Linked DNA regions of Mytilus edulis. Each later gene encodes a partner of the first gene's protein in a complex. Links are inferred from orthologs where the notes say so. Each region holds a gene or a part of one and is shown on either strand. Other genes may lie near its edges. The genes, in order: methylmalonyl-CoA mutase, mitochondrial-like; methylmalonic aciduria type A protein, mitochondrial-like.

What was found.
Region 2: the proteins of methylmalonyl-CoA mutase, mitochondrial-like (region 1) and methylmalonic aciduria type A protein, mitochondrial-like are in contact, whole or in part, in a crystal structure (PDB 8GJU), measured with the Homo sapiens proteins. The link is inferred for Mytilus edulis from reciprocal best matches to the Homo sapiens genes MMUT and MMAA. Residues at the interface, in NP_000246.2 of Homo sapiens: Lys496, Glu609, Arg610, Glu611, Gly612, Arg613, Arg614, Arg616, Ala635, Thr636, Ala639, Asp640, Gly642, Phe643, Asp644, Val645, Asp646, Ile647, Gly648, Pro649, Leu650, Phe651, Gln652, Glu656, Gln659, Gln660, Val662, Asp663, Ala664, Asp665; in NP_001362573.1 of Homo sapiens: Arg98, Ala99, Ala102, Glu103, Thr106, Glu109, Ser110, Thr111, His112, Ser182, Ser186, Gly187, Gly188, Ser189, Leu190, Leu191, Lys194, Thr195, Met197, Thr198, Ser201, Arg202, Met204, Tyr207, Ile208, Arg209, Pro210, Ser211, Pro212, Arg214.

What each region holds. Positions count from the first base shown.
Region 1 is NC_092345.1:96,461,220-96,471,518, forward strand, and holds the start of methylmalonyl-CoA mutase, mitochondrial-like, read right to left. Parts: upstream 5,082-10,299; 5' UTR 4,767-5,081; coding exon 4,713-4,766; intron 2,303-4,712; coding exon 2,177-2,302; intron 1,615-2,176; coding exon 1,483-1,614; intron 794-1,482; coding exon 687-793; intron 1-686. UniProt on the Homo sapiens protein: Catalyzes the reversible isomerization of methylmalonyl-CoA (MMCoA) (generated from branched-chain amino acid metabolism and degradation of dietary odd chain fatty acids and cholesterol) to succinyl-CoA (3-carboxypropionyl-CoA), a key intermediate of the tricarboxylic acid cycle.
Region 2 is NC_092351.1:36,713,067-36,723,634, reverse strand, and holds the start of methylmalonic aciduria type A protein, mitochondrial-like, read right to left. Parts: upstream 4,800-10,568; 5' UTR 4,687-4,799; intron 1,873-4,686; exon of another isoform or gene 532-1,872; intron 1-531. UniProt on the Homo sapiens protein: GTPase, binds and hydrolyzes GTP. Involved in intracellular vitamin B12 metabolism, mediates the transport of cobalamin (Cbl) into mitochondria for the final steps of adenosylcobalamin (AdoCbl) synthesis.

The DNA.
Region 1 (10,299 bases):
TACATAAAAAACAGAGTAATCTTTTTACAAACTTTACTTCTGGATACAATCTTATGATCATACATAAGCTTCTGTCCAAGTTTGGTACAAACCCAGGATAGTTTAAGAAAGTTATTAAAATTTTAAAAACTTTAACCACAGAGTGAATGTAATGGTTCCCCGCAGAAAAACTAAGTCCATTTAAAAGTAAAATATGGAAAAAATGGATTTATTTATTTACAAAATTTACTTCTGGATACTATCTTATGATCATAAACAAGCTTCTGTCCAAGTTTGGTACAAACCCAGGATAGTTTAAGAAAGTAATTAAAATTCTAAAAACTTTAACCACAGAGTGAATGTTATGTTTCCCTGCAGAAAAATCTAAGTACATTTATAAGTAAAATTCGGAAAAAATTGAATTTTATTTTTACAAAATTTACTTCTGGATATTATCTTATGATCATAAACAAGCTTCTGTCAAAGTTTGGTAGAAATCCAGTATAGTTTAAGAAAGTTATTAAAATTTCAAAAACTTTAACCACAGAGTGAATATTTGTTGACGCCGCCGACGACGCCGACGCCGACGGAATGTAGGATCGCTTAGTCTCGCTTTTTCGACTAAAGTCGAAGGCTCGACAAAAACATCCTAGGACAAAAAAAAAGCATATGGTGGTGAAATAATGTAATAAATACAGTAATCTTACCCTCTATGTGTAGGAAGATCAAATGCCACACTTAGACCTTGTTGTCCTCCTGCTATATTGTCTCTGTAAAACTTGTTACTTTCTTCTACAGTACTGAATCCTGCATACTTTTAAAATGAGACAAAACTTTATTGTTAAACAGTTTTTATATATGGTGTGAATTTACAGCTTCTATTTATCATATTTATTTGTTTCATTTCATGTTGTTGTTGGTATTTTTATTGTAGGAAAATAAGAGAAGTGAATGTAATCTTTCTAATTAATCAATCAATATTTAAATGAAAGTTTCCCTTTGTATTCTCACATTTTGACTCATTGACAACTACCATACATCCTTTCTTTTTCAAGTTATTATCTATGGATCTTGGTCTCATAGTTGAAGGATTAATGTTGAAAAAGACAGTTTATCTGTTGCAACTATTTCTGTAAGGATATTACTCAATGTGTTCTCTCCTGTATTTGACAGAGAACTAGTGTCTGTATGTACAATGTTTTCATTTAACTTTTCAACCTTTTCAATTCACTTTTATATTTTGATAACATGCATTATATCTTTGCTTCATTTCTTAAATCACAATTGATGTAATATGTTTGTCCATTCTTTGTTGAACATGGCAACAGTTAACACAAACATTTCTGAATTAACGGTATTCTAGTTAAGAGGTCTACTAGAATGTCTGATATATAAAGTCAGAATGTATACACTGTGATATAGGGACAGCATACGTATGAAAATCTTGTTTGAAAGTCTCTGTTTTAACACTCTACACTATATAGACCTTGTGTATCCACTAACCTGTCTGATGGTCCAAGGTCTGTATGTGTACATTGTACTATAAGGTCCCCTTGTGTAGGGATATAGGCCTGGAAGTTCTTTCTCCACATGTTCTGTATCTTTCTTTGTATAAACTGGCTTAACATTGATGCCCTGAAATTAAATATATATCTTCAACTTAACTTATTGTTACCTGATACATTACTATGACCTGATTTCTTTAACAATAGAAAATTAAACTTCATGGAGGTGTAAGTAAGTATGGACCAAATTATAATAAATTGTACCCTTCATCAAGAAAAATGACTAAATTTCACAATCTGAAAAGTCGGCAAGGATCATCTTAATAAGTACACTAAGTAAGGTGAAAAATATATTAAAAAAAGTTTGTCTATGTGTTTAAAACTGTAGGAGCAGTTTTTTCTTTTTACACAAAATGGATACCTCCTAGGTAAACATGAAGAATGCTACTGAACAGTTTTATCATCTACAAATAGTATTCAAATGTGTTCAAAATATGAGGAGCAACGTAATGCCTCTTCTGCTACGATGGGGGCATAAAAATTACACACAAAAACAAAATATAAGGTTCATCATAACCTTTTTGTAAATACATGAAATGTGGCGGTATTTACACCTCAAATTTCACTATGAGTACAGAGAAACTTGTACACCTGGAAAAATTTATCCAATGATCATGATGATGACAATTTACCTCAGGAGTCTGCCACATCAGGACATCATCTGGATCTTTTCCTTTGATTTCTTTCTTTGCTTTCTCTTTCCATGATTGATCTATTGGTTCTCTGTGTAAACATCTGCAGCATACTGGTGCAGTTCTCTGTAAAAGTAGAGTATATGTGTAAACATCTGCAGCATACTGGTGCAGTTCTCTGTAGAAGTAGAGTATAAACTCATTTATTTAAAGAACTATTGTGAAACTATCAAACAGACCATAAAACAAAACATAATAGTCCACAAAAAGAACAGCCAAGTGTCGCTAAATGATTGCTTGGGAGCACAGTTTGTTATATAAACCACTTGAAACTAGTACTGGTGATCATAGGTCCATGATATGGGGTCAAAGTCAAGTGAATCCAGTGTGATAGAAACCAACTCTTCTTCTTCTTCTTTCAGAAAAGGGACTGGATTTCAATATTTGAATTACATGGATCTGCACGAAAACTTTGCACAGTGACTGGCATTAACACAGAAAGTTCTCTCTTGGCTATTTACATTTTAAATGAAAGATTTACGGAAAGATTACCTGTTGGCATCTGCACTGGTTCTTTCTTAGTAGACTCTGTTTTTACCTCTGGTTCGGTTATTGTTTAAAGTCAAATAATGTTGAAAATCTATGTTTAATATGTCATGCTGGATCTTGAATAGCACACATAATCTAATTAGTTTTCATTCATTCTTTGAGGCTTTTCCATTTTAAATTTTTACCATAATTTTGACACAGCTAGGATAGAAAAAATATGTGCAATTTAGGGACATTGGAACTGGGTTCTTTTATTTTACATTAAAAAAGATTTTGATATACATTCTTCATTTTCTATACCTTGTTTAACCTCAAGGAATAACTTCATTACACTTAAGTAATGATGTTTTATCAAAAACTTTATAAAAAAAAAAAAAATTAATTGGCATTTATTTTCATACTCATCCAAGACATTGCTGATATAAAACCTATAATATAAGTTTCATAAAAATCTGACAAGAATTGAAGATTGGACAAAAGGACAATTTTCAATATTATTAATTTCCAAGGGACATGACTCTTTTAAAAATTATTGATCTGCAGTAATTTTCAAAATCTTGCAAGAGATATTATAAACCTATGATATAATGTTTATAAAATTCTGGTAAAAATTTTACACTTGAAGCGTCAACAAGATGGGACGGATGGAAGGATGCATAGATGGATCCTCTATAGCAATTTCCCACATATTTAATAAACTCTTCTAAAAATGATTGATCAGCACTGATTTTTGAACTTGCCAGAGACATTGCTGATATATATAAACCTGTGATTTAATTCAAAAATTGAAGATATGAGTCTCAGTGCTTCATGTAACAATGCAATTTTCCATAGATATTTAATGTTTTCAAGGGGCATAACTCTTTGCTAACTCCTCACTGACTAACTAGTCAAAGACATTGTTCACATTAAATATAATCAACTATGATATTTGTTGTATAAAAAATCTGGCAAGAATTGAACACATGACAGCATTCACAATGCAATTTTGAGAATTTGCACAAAAATTAATGTTTCTTAGCTATATACATGTAGGGTCAAAACTATTTTAATAAACAGCTGCGCCAGGAGTGCATGATACACCCCTTATGTTTTCTAAGAATAAAGTGCAATAACTTCTCAATGTCATATATCAGAAATTTATGAAAAACTAAAGGGAAGTTATCTTAATAGACAGGCAAAAATGTTTATTGAAAACTGCTCAAAGCGCTATAAAAGTAATGTACGTCTGAAAACTAGAAAATCCTCCTTTTTTTAATGAATAAAACCCCATAACCTGGGAACAGTATGTTCCTGCCATAACTAAACTTGGAAATGCACAATCAAAATTTGAAAGGGAGCTTGTGTCAATAGATAAAAAAAACCCACACACTCTATTAATGAATTAAACCCCTCTCTGAAACCTAAAATATAAAATTTATGAAATAACAAAAGGGAGCCAACATCAATAGAAAAATGCAATTCACTAAGTTTTATGCAAATTGGGTAAAGCGTTTTGGAGTTACATGAAATGTCCGACATGTTGACGATGGACAGACAGACATACGGACAACGCCAAGGGTCATGACGGTATACCATAATACACTAAACGGGCGTATAAAAAAGTAATTGATTGGCACTGATTTTTCTACTCATCCATGACATTGCTGATATAAACCTAGATGATATACTGTTAATAAAAATCTTGCAAGAATTGCACACATGAAAGCGCTAACCAGACAGGACAGAGAGACGCAGTGACAGACACCATGTAGAGGGAAGCCTGGTTTTTTTTAGTACAATGAAAGTAAGTATGAAATGACAGGGCTGCAGACGTTAATGTCCGAAACAAAATATGCCAGGGCCGAAATGTCTTTACAGCTCAAGTTTCTCTAAGCTATAAACCTCTTCACTCTTCACTTGTGAAGTTGTGTGAGTCTTTTCGAGTTTAAACTGTTTTCATGGAAGTGGCATTCTCTTGATTTCTTTTTTCAAGGTTCAAATATACCTGTAATGTTTGTCTGCATAGAAACCGGCCAGTGACATTTCGTATTTTATACATTATTTGTTTTTACGAGGTTTCTCTGTGGGCTTAGCACTAGACAAGGAAAAAACCGGGGGCATACGAATGTTTTCTCAAGGTCAGGTTTTATTACGTAAAAACTTGTGTATTCCGAATGGAATAGACGTTTTTCTGCAAATAGTATACTTTCTCTCTTTTTCATAAGGTCGTTAATGATAATTTTACTTAATATTTTAAAGATGCTTAGAAATTTGCAATAAAAGAGTAATGATAAGAATGATAAAGCATAAAAAGACCTTGAAATCATTGAAAAATCGTTGTGCATGGGCGCAGACATTTTTGTTGTCAGATGAAAGGCTGGTTTTGATTGGTTGAAAGAAACTTTTAACCAATGAAATTGTACGTTATTTCAACATTAACCTTAAAAGTAAAGCTATGGCAGACATGAGTCCAGAAGCTAAAAAGAGACTTTCCTCTGTTCTTAAACTTGTTAGAGTAACATTTCAATATGGATTCATTCCAACAGTTTTATATATGGGTAATTTAGGTTTTAGAAATAAAAAAAAACAAAATCGTCAATAGGTCAGTTAGATTTATAGTGCTGATTTTAACTATAGCACTCCTCTCAGAACTTGTAAGTAAGTAAGTAAGTACATGTAAGTAATGGCTTTATTTAAAGAGGGTGACTCAATTAGCTTTCACTAATCTACCTTGAGGCCCTCACAATATTACAAAGCTTACAGTTTCTAACATATTATGTAAATGCACTATTCATTCTTACTATAAACTGTCTAGAACAAGAGAAAAATAAATTCATATATATACAACTCGTCTAAACATCAACCCAACAATGTTAGATCTGTAAATTTGATTTCGCAAATTTTTGGTTCTTCCCTCGCCGGGATTCGAACCCATGCCACTGTGATATCGTGACACCAAATCGCCTGCACTGCAGCCGTCCCGCTAGACCACACGACCACCTGGGCTCTCAAAAAAGAGCTTTCGCTGGCCGTGTGTTACCTTTCCTCGTCAGTTTTAATCTAGCGGCGTACTACAGTACATGATATATGAGGCATGAAGATGTTATTGTTACAGATCAGCTAAATTATCTATAGTAAAGGATCCTACAAATTAATGTAATATACAGTCACAGAAAATAATTATATTTATAAGTACGTCTGAGTCAGTGACAACTCTACAAATATATATACATAACATACAAATCATTAGAATATTTGAGTAAGTTGTTATAAATCATTTATAGTCAAGAAATCAACACATTTTTGTTTAAAAGTGTCCAGGTTTTCACAACATTTTATTTCATTTGGTAGTTTATTACTAACTAGGGCACTTTTTATGCAGTTAAGCTGCATTATGCGAGCACCCTAGATTTTTGTTCTACCCAATAAATCCTGAAATACTTGCCATTGTTATTATCTAGCTTGTTACTATGTTATATATAACTAATTGAACACTTTTTTAATACTTTTTATTCTGGATTACAAAAAAAATGACCAGAAAAACCGTAAATGATCGTCGATTTATCCAAAAGTTTTAAAGTTACACATAGGAAGTAGTGCTTATTAAAAATCCTTGTGTAGTTCATTATGACTTGTGCTTTTAGCTAAGATGTCAAAGAACAATTGTATGAAATATTTAATCGCCGAAAATCTCTTAAGACAAGCAGTTTAGATTTCCCAAATGACAAAAGTCGTAGGAATATTATTTGTCATCAATACGTAGTACAACTACATCAGTAGTCTATTATATAATTCAACTGTTCATGCTGTTGGCGGCAATTTCAAATTAGAAAAAGAAATTTTCGTAGCTTTTCAATTTGGAGGCAGGTGTGCAAATTAGCGGTGGTCCGAGACCTTCCACTTTTGCAAGCGGAACTTCGACTAGGATAGTTGGTTTCTAGCTACGCCCGACGTAGTCGCCTTACATTTGAAAGAAAATAAGAATTTACTTTGCAAACCTTTTCACCATGTTCACCAAAGTCTCCAATTAAACGAGCTAAAAACTTATTTTTATCATTATTATTCATGACGGCGATGTTCATTTTGTTCAACCGCTAGCTTTATACAGAAAATCGCCGACAAATATTGTATAAATTCGAGTAAAATCGTATCTGATTGACAAAAACAACATTGTAAACACATAACAATGGCGGCCGTGAAGACAAAATTTTACAAAATCGGATCCGATTCCGGGAGCGGATAAGGGTAATTCCGGGTTTGACGATCATTTACAAAATAAATCTAAGCAGTTGAAAAATACATCTATGCATGGTAAATGAAAATAAACACTAGTATTGTAAACCAAAAGATATATGTAAAAGAAAGAAAAAGCAGAAAAATATTTTATTCAGAAACTAAAAATTACTTTTTGATAAATTTTAATTTAAAAATCCAATACAACGTGCCAGCTGGGAACAGTATATCTAACAATATACATGTTCATGGTCACAGTCTAAATTTTCTTTATAAATGATAAATGATGATAATGCATGTGAGATGCTTTTAAAGTGTAAACATATTACTGCGATTTCGAGGGGTTATTTGTTTTTTTCTCAATTTTGAAGGGTCAATTAAAGTAGCTGAAAGTTTCATTCTTTATTTTCACAAATAATGCAACTATATTACATATACCTTAATGTAAGTAAATCATATGATATATAGGTGGCATTCTTTGGGCCACTCTACCCCTCCTGTTTGATAACTTGGAAACGGTCGAGCTCCCCACCTCTAAACCATATGAGGGGCAGATCCAGGATTTTAGGTTAAAATTATCGGAATTTTCTTTATTAAGCTGAGAACAACCCATGCTTTGCAAATTTAAGGGGGGGTGCAAGCCCGCAACCCTCCCCCGTCTGAATCCTCCCCTGCATATATTCAAGTATAGGACAATATAATAAATAAAAAATGAAATATAGGGGGAGTCCCTGGAGTTACCCCACCCCCTCCTGTTTGAGATCTTGGAAACGGTCAGGATCCACACCTCTTAACCATATATATTCATGTTTGTGACGATATGAAAAATCAAATGAAATATAGGAAGAGTCGCTAGGGGTCACCCCACCCCTCCTGTTTTAGAATTTAAAAATGGATCGAGATCCCCATCCCTAAACCATATATATTCATGTATGGGACAATATAACAAATCAGATGAAAGATAGGGGGAGTCCCTGAGGTCACTGTTCACCCTCCTGTTTGAGAACTTGGAAATGGTCAAGATCCTTACCCCTAAACCATATATACTCATGTATGGGACAATATAACAAATCAAATGAAATATAAGGGAAGTCCCTGTGGTCATCCCAACCCTCCTGTTTGAGAACTTGGAAACGGTCGAGATCCCCCACACCAAAACAATATATATTCATGTATGGATCAATATAACTAATTAAATGAAATATAGGGGGAGTCCCTTGGGTCACCCTACCCTTCCTGTTTGAGAACTTGGAAACCAATGAGATCCCCACCCCTAAACCATATATATTCATGTATGGGACAATATAACAAATAAAATGAAATGTAGGGGAAGTCCCTAGGGTCACCCTACCCCCAGTGGCAGATCCAGAAATTTTCATAAGTGGGGCCCACTGACTGACCTAAGAGGGGCCCGCTTCAGTCACGCTTCAGTGATTCCCTATATAAGCAACCAAATTTTTTCCCAAAAAGGGGGGCCTGGCCCCCTGCCCCCTAAATCCTCTGCCTACCCCTACCTGTTTGAGAACTTGAAAACCGTTGAGATCCCCACCCCTAAATTATATATATTCATATGTATGGGACAAAATAACAAATCATTTACATTTACTATATATGGGCAAGTCAGTCAGACCTCATCTTTGATCCCTGTTGTAGTGAACATTTGTCTGATTCGTGTCTCATAACTTTTGTACTACAGAACACAAACTCAGTTTTCTTTCCAGGGAAACCAGTCCATTCATACTATTACATGTTCATACTATGTCAAATTGAACTTCTAGCAGTCAAATAAAACCAAGGTTAACTACCAAGTAGAACAACTGCAATCATTGGGAACTTGTACCACTGCAGACTCACCATAAAAAAATATACATTGATATATGCTTTGCTTTTGAAACCTTGATAACATATAAATTATTTGCCTTAATAAATAAATCATTAGATAAACATGAATGTACTATATATGAATGTTTAATGTTGAGGCAACATTGCCACAGTTTTCATAATTACGGTTGCCTTGGTTTTTGGTTAACTGCCTTCAGCGCTTACAGCGCTTTGATTTCTGTCTATCATACCCTAGACAGTCTATGGCAAGATCTTTTATCGATATGTATGAGGGTAGTAATGCCCTTAACTGTCGGGCGTCAAATAGTAATTTACTGCTTCCGTTTGCTTCAAATTGGTTAAATTTTACTGCGATTCGTCAAAATATTCTTTTCGTGATTTTTAGAAGTTTCAAATAATTATTGCTAGCATCAATTTCTGGTTAACAAAGTTAGATTTCTGTTTGTTTTCAGGACCAATAATAACACATTTTGGTTTTTGTTGTTTCTCTTTTACTGTCCCTGAGTCGATATTTAATGGGATTTAGAGAAACAAAAACAATAGAGATTCATAATATAATGGTCTAGAAATATAAATAAAAGTCTGAATAGAGAAAAATGACTTACAATTATAGACCCCCAATCAAGACCCTCATGTAATGCATGACTTATTATGTGCATTGGTTAGAAAATGCCTTTGCTTTTTTTGGTATGTAAGTAGTGATATTTTTTGACAGGGATGGAAACCCAAAATCTTTTGTTTTTCTATTATTTCAGACATATCCCATGTTAATATACATATAAAAAATATATCAAAGGAAAGTTAGGGAACAGATAATCTCTGACTTGTTTCAGTTTTTTTTATATCCATGATCATATCTGTATAAAAAAGTTTTAACATTTCTTTTTCTCAAGTTAGTTTAAAATTAACATGGCCATGACATGTATGCATTAATCATTGTTCACCTATAGTTAAGTAACCATAGTTAGTAACTTACTGTATTAATGCAACTTGTTTTATTATTCTTTTTCTTAGGATTCAAGAGAGGTGCTGATGAAGGAATGCCTCCATTAGAATTAGCAAGGTTAGTTGTTATAAACTATGGGATGATCAAATAGATTTGAATGATCATTTTTTTAAATATATACATTCAAAACAAGCAATTTATATAAATTTTTAGTATGATGGATGTGGTGGTAAGACTTGTTATATATCATATATTGTACATCTAAAGTATAAACTAATAAATAATGTACATCAGCTGTATGCAGTTCAAAGATTGTACCCAGAATCCATTATATAACTAATCCTTCATAAAAACTAAGAAATTTGATGGAAAAAAATACCCTGCTAATTACATATTTCTGACATGTTAACACTATGACACAATTGATTAAACTGAAATTGATTTTGTAGAGCGTGTACATGATGTAAGGGGTCCATTTTAATCTACTGGTAGAATTCCAATTCTTATTAGACTTAATCTTCCACTATCTAAAACTAATTTGTGACAGCTCTATATCTGTTACATGTACATG
Region 2 (10,568 bases), on another chromosome or scaffold:
ATTGTGATTAAATAGTTGACACAGCATAGGTTTCTGACACAGAATGAATGTGTTCTAATGAACTTAAAATTTTTGTTTTCTCTTAGAGCAATTCACTATGCTGTTGAATATTAATCCTCTCAAAAAAATGTTTGAAGAAATTTTCTTTTTTATTTATGAAATTTCAAATGAGAAAAATTGAACCCAATTTTTTTAATCACATCCCCCTTTCCCTTATTCCAAAACTAATCTCAATTAAAATTTCTAATGGAGTTTGCAACAATAACTACTCATTTAAATACATCATAAAATATTAAGATGTAAAAAAACTGCTTGTTATCACTGAATGGTAAAGATTATTTTAATTTATCAGTTGGTAGTAAAAAGTGAATATACATTGTATATTGTATATAACAAAGATTTAAGTTGATTCTGGACAAAGAAAGATAACTCCAATTAAAAAAAAATCTTGCTATTGCACAATATTTTGCAATTAGATATTTCTTGCTTACTATTCTGGACAAAGAAAGATAACTCTAATTAAAAAAAAAATTGCTATTTCACAATATTGTGCAATTAGATATTTCTTGCCATTGCGCAATACTGTGCAATTGAAAAGACTTGCTATTGCACAATACTTAATATAATAATTTTAGATCCTGATTTGGACCAACTTGAAAACTGGGCCCATAATAAAAAATCTAAGTACATTTTTGGATTCAGCATATCAAAGAACCCCAAGATTTCAATTTTTGTTAAAATCAGACTAAGTTTAATTTTGGACCCTTTGGACTTTAGTGTAGACCAATTTGAAAACAGGACCAAAAATGAAGAATCTGCATACACAGTTAGATTTGGTATATCAAAGAACCCCATTTATTCAATTTTTGATGAAATCAACAAAGTTTAATTTTGGACCCCGATTTGGACCAACTTGAAAACTGGGCCAATAATCAAGAATCTAAGTACATTTTTAGATTCAGCATATCAAAGAACCTGACTGATTCATTTTTTGTCAAAATCAAACTAAGTTTAATTTTGGACCCTTTGGACCTTAATGTAGACCAATATTTGAAAACGGGACCAAAAGTTAAGAATCTACATACACAGTCATGACAATTAGATTCGGCATATCAAAGAACCCCAATTATTCAATTTTGATGAAATCAAACAAAGCTTAATTTTGGACCCTTTGGGCCCCTTATTCTGTTGGGACCTAAACTCCCAAAATCAATACCAACCTTCCTTTTATGGTCATAAACCTTGTGTTTAAATTTCATAGATTTCTATTTACTTATACTAACGTTATGGTGCGAAAACCAAGAAAAATGCTTATTTGGGTCCCTTTTTGGCCCCTAATTCCTAAACTGTTGGGACCTAATTAACTCCCAAAATCAATACCAACCTTCCTTTTGTAGTCATTAACATTGTGTTTAAATTTCATTGATTTCTATTTACTTAAACTAAAGTTATTGTGCGAAAACCAAGAATAATGCTTATTTGGGCCCTTTTTTGGCCCCTGATTCCTAAACTGTTGAAACCAAAACTCCCAAAATCAATCCCAACCGTTCTTTTGTGGTCATAAACCTTGTGTCAAAATTTCATAGATTTCTATTAACTTAAACTAAAGTTATAGAGCGAAAACCAAGAAAATGCTTATTTGGGCCCTTTTTGGCCCCTAATTCCTAAAATGTTGGGACCAAAACTCCCAAAATCAATACCAACCTTCCTTTTGTGGTCATAAACCTTGTGTTAAAATTTCATAGATTTCCATTCACTTTTACTAAAGTTAGAGTGCGAAAACTAAAAGTATTCGGACGATGACGACGACGACGCCAACGTGATAGCAATATACGACGAAAAAATTTTCAAATTTTGCGGTCGTATAAAAAGCTACTGGGAGTTACATTCTGCAAACAGTTAGAGCTAAGTTTACAAATAATACAGAACTGTCCATATGCAAACTGTGTAATGAAACAGAAGAAACTTTCCCACATTTTTAATTAACGTGTAAAAGTCTAGAAGATATCAGAAAACCAATTTTGGAAGATTTAATTAATTCCTGTAGTGAAGAGTTAGCTGTTTTTAATATTAAAGATGAACATTTTGACATTTAACAACTGATTATAGATCTCTTTAATTACATGGCAATGTTAAGAAATGTAAAAGCTTTTAAAGTGATACAGAACATTATAGATCCAAAATGTGGACAATTATGTTACAATCTCCATTGTGAAAGGTATAGACTGTTGCAATTAGATGATATAAAGAAAAAGAAGAGAAATTAGATAATAACATTATATCATATGAATCCTAAGTGACGATTGGTTGTCTACTCTTAAACAGTGATACATGTATTTTTAGATAAATATTTTAGATTTTAAAGTATTTAATGAGTTGATGCTGCCTATATTGACATTAAGCCCAATTTTATCGTCAAGAATATGATGTACAATGTAAATAGTGTATAGTGATATTGGTGGAAGATATTTTTATTCATGTTGTGAACTCCAATACTCCGAAGAGGTGTGCCTACATTGGTAGAATATATATTACAGATTACAGATTACAGTTATTAAAGTCAGCCACATATACTTGAAATATACATTGTATGCATCCATTAATTCCATTTGCGTTAGATGCTTACTTCAGTTTGGTGCAAAGATAATTTTAAGGAAGTTTCTGTCAGTAAACATAAAATTGAGAATGGAAATGGGGAATGTGTCAAAGAGACAACAACCCGACCATGCATGGAACAGACAATAGCGATCAATAGCAGAAGGTCACCAACAGGTCTTCAATGCAGTGAGAAACTCCGCACCTGGAGGCGTCCTTCAGCTGGCCCCTAATCAAATATATATACTAGTTCAGTGATAATAAACGCCATAATAAACTCCAAATTGTACACATGTATACATGGTATAATAGGTTGAATTATTTCAATTCTAATAGGACAAATAAGGTAATTAAAAAACTGAAGCGTGGTAGGGTATGCCGGGTGTGGAGCTGTTCTTTTTTACTCCTTGTTAGATAAAGCTAAAACATTCTGATAAATATGTAGTTTGCATGACTTATTTCATAAATAACCGCTGGAAAAATATGTTTAATTCTTTTAAATCTCAAATTCAACATTTGCCATTTTTAATTTACATGTTCTTTTCTTAAGATATCATCAAATCCAAAGGTGACATTTCATTACTAAGGAGCCGCCATGTTGACTTTCTGAAATCAGTAAATATGCGAATAATGCAACAGAACAGAAAATAAAGCTAACCCTACCTCAAAAAATCCATTTTAATGAAATATTATACGAACTATGGTTCACATACAATGACATAATGGAAAAACCTTTAGCTTTAGCGTTTTCATTTGTATGATGTCATGTTTTGAAATGAATTAAAAGTGCCAAAAGCATTTATGGACTTTCACAGAATTTTATTTTATTTTGATTTTGTTATTTCTCTGGGCTCTAGTGCATTAATTGTGTTTGTTATGCATCAGAATACGAATAGAAGTTCTGTAGTCTTTTTCAATTGCAAATTTTAAAACAATAAAATTGGCATACATGTAGCAATTGCAAACGGTTTCTATCAGATACATGTGTATTAACGACTTTTATGAAGAAGGTATTTTGTAACATCCATTTTCACAAATGTATGTATATTTCTGAGTATGTGCTAAGTATAGATATACATGTATCCAGTATTTATCACGGTGTTGTTTACAAAGCAAAAGATGCATATATATATGTCATATTAGAATATTTATTATCATATAAACATAAAACAAATTATAGATAACTTTGCAAGGAAAGACCCGCAACGCATGATGTTGAATGACCTGATAAACGACTCTTTGTTAAATTAGTAAATTTTGAACAATTTTACGTAGAACTATTTTTACCGATTCAGAACATTTTAGCTAAACTTTTTTTACAGCTTGCCTAATTCAGATGACAGTTGTATGTTGTGCTATTTTAGATTGCAAGATATTGGATAGAGTCTTAAATAAAAAATCATTTTTACATGTCTTTAAATTCCTTTACCTAGGAATATGTGCATTTTGCATGGTGTTGTCCAAATTCATGATCTTCCATAATGTCGAAGGTATTTTTTAACCTTTTTCATACCATTCAATATTCGTTTGGGACCACCTCCAAATTTTTTTCTGGATCCGCCACTGAGTACCCTCAGTAATTTGTTTCTGAGAGATAAATGCTTGACAGAAGCCACAGGTACTTGTTTCTATCCATGGGAAGGTCGACTATCCATATATAGAATATGTATATATACATTATAGTGATATATGCGAGTCTAAATTGAAAACTACGTTCAAACCTATGATTGCGTTCGATAAAAACCGCCATGTTTATACATGTGCATGTAAAACAAATTTGTAGAAGGGTCTAAATACAGCAGTACAAACAACATTTTCCAAAAGACCAAAAAAGTGAAGTACATGTAGTATATTAAAACAAAACGCATTTTACTAACAGGTCGAACAACGGATGTTCTTTATATAGTCGACCTTCCCTGAGACAAGCTCAGAACTGATCTATAGTAGGAAACGCAGAAGAAAACTGCTATGTGATATCAGAGACATATAAATATATATGTCTCTGATGATCAGGTGATATGAATAAAAACACACCATTTTCATATTTTCCTATTAAATGGCTAAGATTTTTAAAGGAGTAATTGTACCTACAATGTAAAAACAACAATGATGATAGCTGTCAGAATTCTAAAAAAAAAAAGAACGGCCAAAAAGCTGGTGGGGAGAGAAACGACAATCTGACTGTTTTAACTTCTTCTCTAAGTAAATTCCTCCGCAGCGGAGCACCCGTGTCACACGGTTAAAAAAAAGGCCCTAATTTTTATTTAATATTGTTTAAAAACAAGGAACGGAATAAATTTGTGTATATACAATCCTTACAGAAATATTGTAACATTTAGTTCAATTCAGTTGTTTGTATGTATGTTCCTCCATTATTTGTGGAGCACTACCCATGAGGTATAATTGCAGCAATCATATTATAGACATTTTAATCTGGGATTACTATATCACATATAGTTATAGAAGTCTCAGTTTTAATACTTAAGGAGCATTAAAACTTATGTAAAGATAAATGAGTAAAGGCAATATCATTATCAAATTATAGGATAATCATTACAGCTCAGTTTAAACCATAAAATTACTGAGTTAATTACAATATGCTGTTTAAACTAATATGCTGAGGTGCAAGAAAAGGTTAAAGGTTCATGTTCACCGATTTTACTCAAATTCTCATATTAGATTTATAACAATTGTAAAACGTTTATCCAAATTATAAAAAGGGTAGAATAAAAAAAATGAACAGGTATGGCCCGGGCTCGATTATATGTAGTTTCGTTACGTGGGTATTAACTATCAAGATGACCCAGAAAACAACCGACGGTCACATAACATGATATAAACAAAGTTGCCTAAACATATCATAAACATAAATATAAATTGATATATGTAACTAGTAAATGAAATTTTCTACAGATTTCAACTTTTGTTTTATTCAGTAACTGTAAATTTGAACAACGAACAACGAACTTGCATTACCTTCAATAAGTTTAACTTACTAGTAATATAAAGTTAAAAATGTAAGGCCACCACACATATGCTGTGATTGACCCAATCAAAGACCCTTTGGCCCGCCTCTAATGCTTTACCTTTCCCACCTTTCTTCTGAGTCTTCTTTTATTTCGTAGTCATTTAAAATCCTTTAAACAGATTATTGTTTACCTTTTTCATTGCGGACAGTTTTTATCAGTAGAAAAAAAGACCACAAAAATGGTAGCATCAGCAAAGTGAATATGTCATTCATATATATCTGTAGTCATTGGAATGCTGTCCCATTGAGGGAAACTCCCATCCCCTTTTCTCCGTTCAGCGTGCACATGTCGTTTGGTTATTGTTGTCGCTAGGACTAATGTAGCTGTCTCATTGACGTTTACCCCACATTCTGTTTTTACACACTTTATATTTTTGAACATGCAGTTAAGGTGTTATTTCATGTAAAATATAGTGAGAAAATTCAGAAGAGAAGTTCAAAGGACTTTTAAAATAGAAAAAGAAGAAATGATGTAATTTATTTCAAAAACGACCTGTTTTTTTAATTTAGTAACTGTAAATCTTAAATTTGTGTTTAAAAAAATGTCTTCACTGGGAACCCCAGAGCTGAAGCCTAGAAACTTCAGTTTAGCAGAGACGTAGCTGTATTGATATTTTTTTAAAAACATTTTTGCACCGCATAAAAACCTTACAGACACAGTCAGTGTAGCACAGTTGTGCTTCCCAACGACATGTCTACTTAGCTACCAAATGATGTATCAAAATAACGACTGCACGATACAGCCTCTGAGAAATTTCACAATCCTTGGACATAAACCACACCCTTTCGTATTAAGGAAACAAATTCTATACATAAAGGTGTCGACCTAAAGGTATACAACAAACTTACTTTACCTTAAATAAGTTTAACTTCATATAAAGTTAAAAATAAAAGGTAACCATACACAAGTTGTGATGGACACAAAGACCTTTTAAACGCAGGCTCTACCTCTAATGTTTCTACCCTTCCTACTTTTCTTTTAAGCCTGCCTATCCTTCATAATCATATATTTGTATTAATCAAGTACAAATTGACATTTGTAATGTGTTTCTCAATAAATGAATCAATTCTACAAAGCATCGATGAACAATTTATATTTGATGTAGCTGTTTCATGTCCAGCGACAAATATATCAGTCATAATTCAAAAAGATAGTAACATGTATGTGTGGCTAAACATTACTTAAGTTAATTTGAAATTCCAGTTAATAGATTCTACAAGGCATGCAAAAGAACTTGTAATTGATGAATCTGCTTCATGTCCAGCGACAAATATATCAGTCATAATACAAGAAGATAGTAACATGTATGTGTCGCAAAACATTGATTTAGTCAATTTAAAATCCTTTAAACAGATTCTAGTTCACTTAACAACAAATGAGGTGAAGGTCAATGGAAATATGACAAATGGAAACTTTATAACATATAAAGGTATCTGCACACAAGGTATGAAGCATTCAGTTCTCAGTCTACCTTCTGAAATTTCAACATTTAAACAAATTCTCCACACAATCAACAATGGATTGTTATACCTATATCTCACTGTTATAACTGTTGTTTTCCTTCCAGGCAAGACGAATTTAAAATCCTTACATCGACCACTGGAGAGTATTTCACAGAAGAATAAATGGGGATTGGGAATGTGTCCATGGGACATAGATGATGCCCCCGATTGCATATCATATAAAATTATAAAAGGGCAAAAACTAAAGAACGGTAAAAGCCACACTACCCAAATTCGTACTTGATCAGAGTTTTGTGGTAATGAGTATTGTGCATAAGTTTCATAACATTTGGTTGAGGCAAACTTAAGTTAGAGAACAGAAACTAAAACTTCAGAATTTTTTCCTTTCCAGTTATATATAGAGGTATAACTCTAGAACAGTTTAAGTGACCCCACCAAAATTCACACTCGTCGTGACTTGATCTGTGTTTTGTGGTCATCAGCATTGTGTATCAGCTTCATAACAATTGGTCGAAACAAACTAAAATTATAGAGGGGAATCTAAAATTCAGCACTGAACTTTCCAACTTATAAAGGGACATAACTCTAGAACTGTTAAAGTGACACTACCAAATTGAACTTGATCTGTGATATGTGGTCATCAGCATTGTGTATCAGTTTCATAACAATTGGTTGAGACAAACTAAAATTATAGAACGGAAACTAAAAATTCAGCAATTTCCCACTTTTAATGGGGCATAACTCTAGAACAGTTAAAGTGATGCCCCCAAAATTTGAAATAAATCTATGTTTTGTTGTAATAAGCTTAATTTTTGTGTATCAGTTTCATAACATTTAGTTGAGGCAAACTGAAGTTAGAGAACGGAAACTAAACATTCAGCAATTTTTTTTTTCATTTATAAAGACATGTAAGGGACGACATCAAAAGATCGATGTAGGATAAAAAACTTAAATCAAATAGTTTGGGGGGGAAGGGGGGTTAAAATTCTGCAAGTTTTGTATATCAAAAATCGATTTTTACATATATCCCTATTGGTAAATCAATTTTTCCCAAATTAAGTTAAGAGGGGGGGGGGGGGGGGGGGGGGGGTCAGTGAAAAAACTATGTGAATTAAGTTTTTTATCCTACATTGAACTTTTGATGTCGTCCCTAAGAGGCATAACTCTAGAACAGTTAAAGTGACCCGACCGAAATTCAAACTTAATCTGTGTTATGTGGTAATGCATTGTGAATAAGTTTCGTTACATTTGATTCAGACAAACTTATGTTAGAGAATGGAAACCAAACATCTTGATCTGTGTTTTGTGGTAATATTCATTGTGTATTAGTTTTAAAACAGTTGGTTCAGGCCTGAAGTTAGAGATTGGAAACCAACTTTTGGAAGAATGGACATACAGATGGACAAGGATAAAACTTAATGCCCACTCAGCTACATCAGGGGAATAAAAATGTTTTAAAGCAGTTGCTGGACAATGAAAATAAGGATAATGACAATGGACAAACGAGAATTGGAACCTTTGTAATTTAAGTTATCTTCATACTATGACTTTGAACAATTCACATCTTTTACCTTCTGAAATACAAGAGTGCACAGGCTGAAATGTCTCGCCTTCTTTACTAATCATTGATTTTATGTTGATAGTCCTAAATATAAAGCTTTATTACAACTGTCACATAAACTTAACCAAGAAAACTAAACATTGACCAATGAACCATGAAAATGAGGTCAAGGTCAGATGAACCATGCAAGGCAGGCATGTACAGCTAACAATTCTTCCGTACAACAAATAAAGTTGACCTATTGCTTATAGTTTAAGAAAAACAGACCAAAACACAAAAAAATAACACTGAGCAATGAACCATGAAAATGGGGTCAAGGTCAAATAAACCTGTGCGACTAACAAATAGATCATTACATTTTTCCATACACCAAATATAGTTGACCTATTGCAATTAGTATTAGAAAAAAAGACCAAAACTCAAAAACTTAATTTTGACCACTGATTACCATGAAGATAAGGTCAAGGTCAGATGACACCTGCCAGCTAGACATGTACACCTTTCAATCATTCCATACACCAAATATAGTAGACCTATTGGTGTAAAGCAAATCCCGACATCCCGAAATCCAAAAAAAAGGATTCCCTGATCCCGAAATCCCGAGCTTAAAAACACCTGATCCCGGAGTCCCGATAAAGGTCCTATCCCCCCTCATACACCGAATACAGGAGACCTATTGCTTATAGTATCTGAGGTATGGACTTGACCACCAAAACTTCTTTCCACGAGGTCAAGTGAAAACTGTCTGATGGGCATGAGGACCTTGCAAGGTACGCACATATCAAATATAGTTATCCTATTACTTATAATAAGTGAGAATTTAACATTACCAAAAATGTTAACTTTCTTTTCAAGTAGTCACTGAACCATGAAAATGAGGTCAAGGACATTGGACATGTGACTGACGGAAACTTCGTAACATGAGGCATCCATATACATGTACAAAGTATGAAGCATCTAGGTCTTCTACCTTCTAAAATATAAAGCTTTTAAGAAGTTAGCTAACGCCGCCGCCACCGGATCACTATCCCTATGTAAAAATCCTCTAGTTTTGAGAAAACGGATAAAAAAATCATTTAGGTGAAATAACTTCTATAAAGAGTCAATTAACAATTTCAGTCATGCTGACTAATTCTAATGTGCTGGACATTTTACTGTTCCTCTCTTTAAATAATCTTTCAAGGGAAATATTTCTCCTCTCAGATTCATTAACGATTTCATCATTTCAACCATGTTGACTTAATGTTTACATTGTTGATTTTATTTTTCAAAAATCATTATCATTCCACTGTAAGGGGTCATTGGACAATGTCTTCCAAATTGACGCTTTTTCCATCAAACTCAATTGGATGTTATATATGTGAACTGATTGATATCAATTAGATACATGATTTTTTAATATTAGTTGGTTTTAACTTTGAACTAGCTTCCAGTAACAGAGTACCAAAATACAATACTGTGTGTGTGTGTGTTACCACAGATCCATAAGCCATGGATATCAATATGTCTATAGTGACTATAGAGTTTTTATTAAAGGGGCTGGCCTAAAATAAAATCAGAGGAGAAGATACATACTAAAGAAAAGGATAATATCACATATGTTTTATTACAATATATTTTAACAATGTTTTGTCAAATACACGTACAGCAAGGTTTTTGGTAAAATAATGCAACAATAAGAAGAGTGGATTTGATCTCATAAAAACACAAATGCAAGGAAAAATGTTCATGGAAAAGAGTGATTTAGTACAACCATTTGCTCATCTGCAAACAAATAACTGTATGCAGATGAATAACATATATATTATTCTAAATATAAAACAATCAGATATTCTTAAAAAAACCTGCACCACTTTCTTTAACCTTTAATGTAACATTAAAACAAAGTATAAGCACATGTACAGTTTCTAGCTCATAACT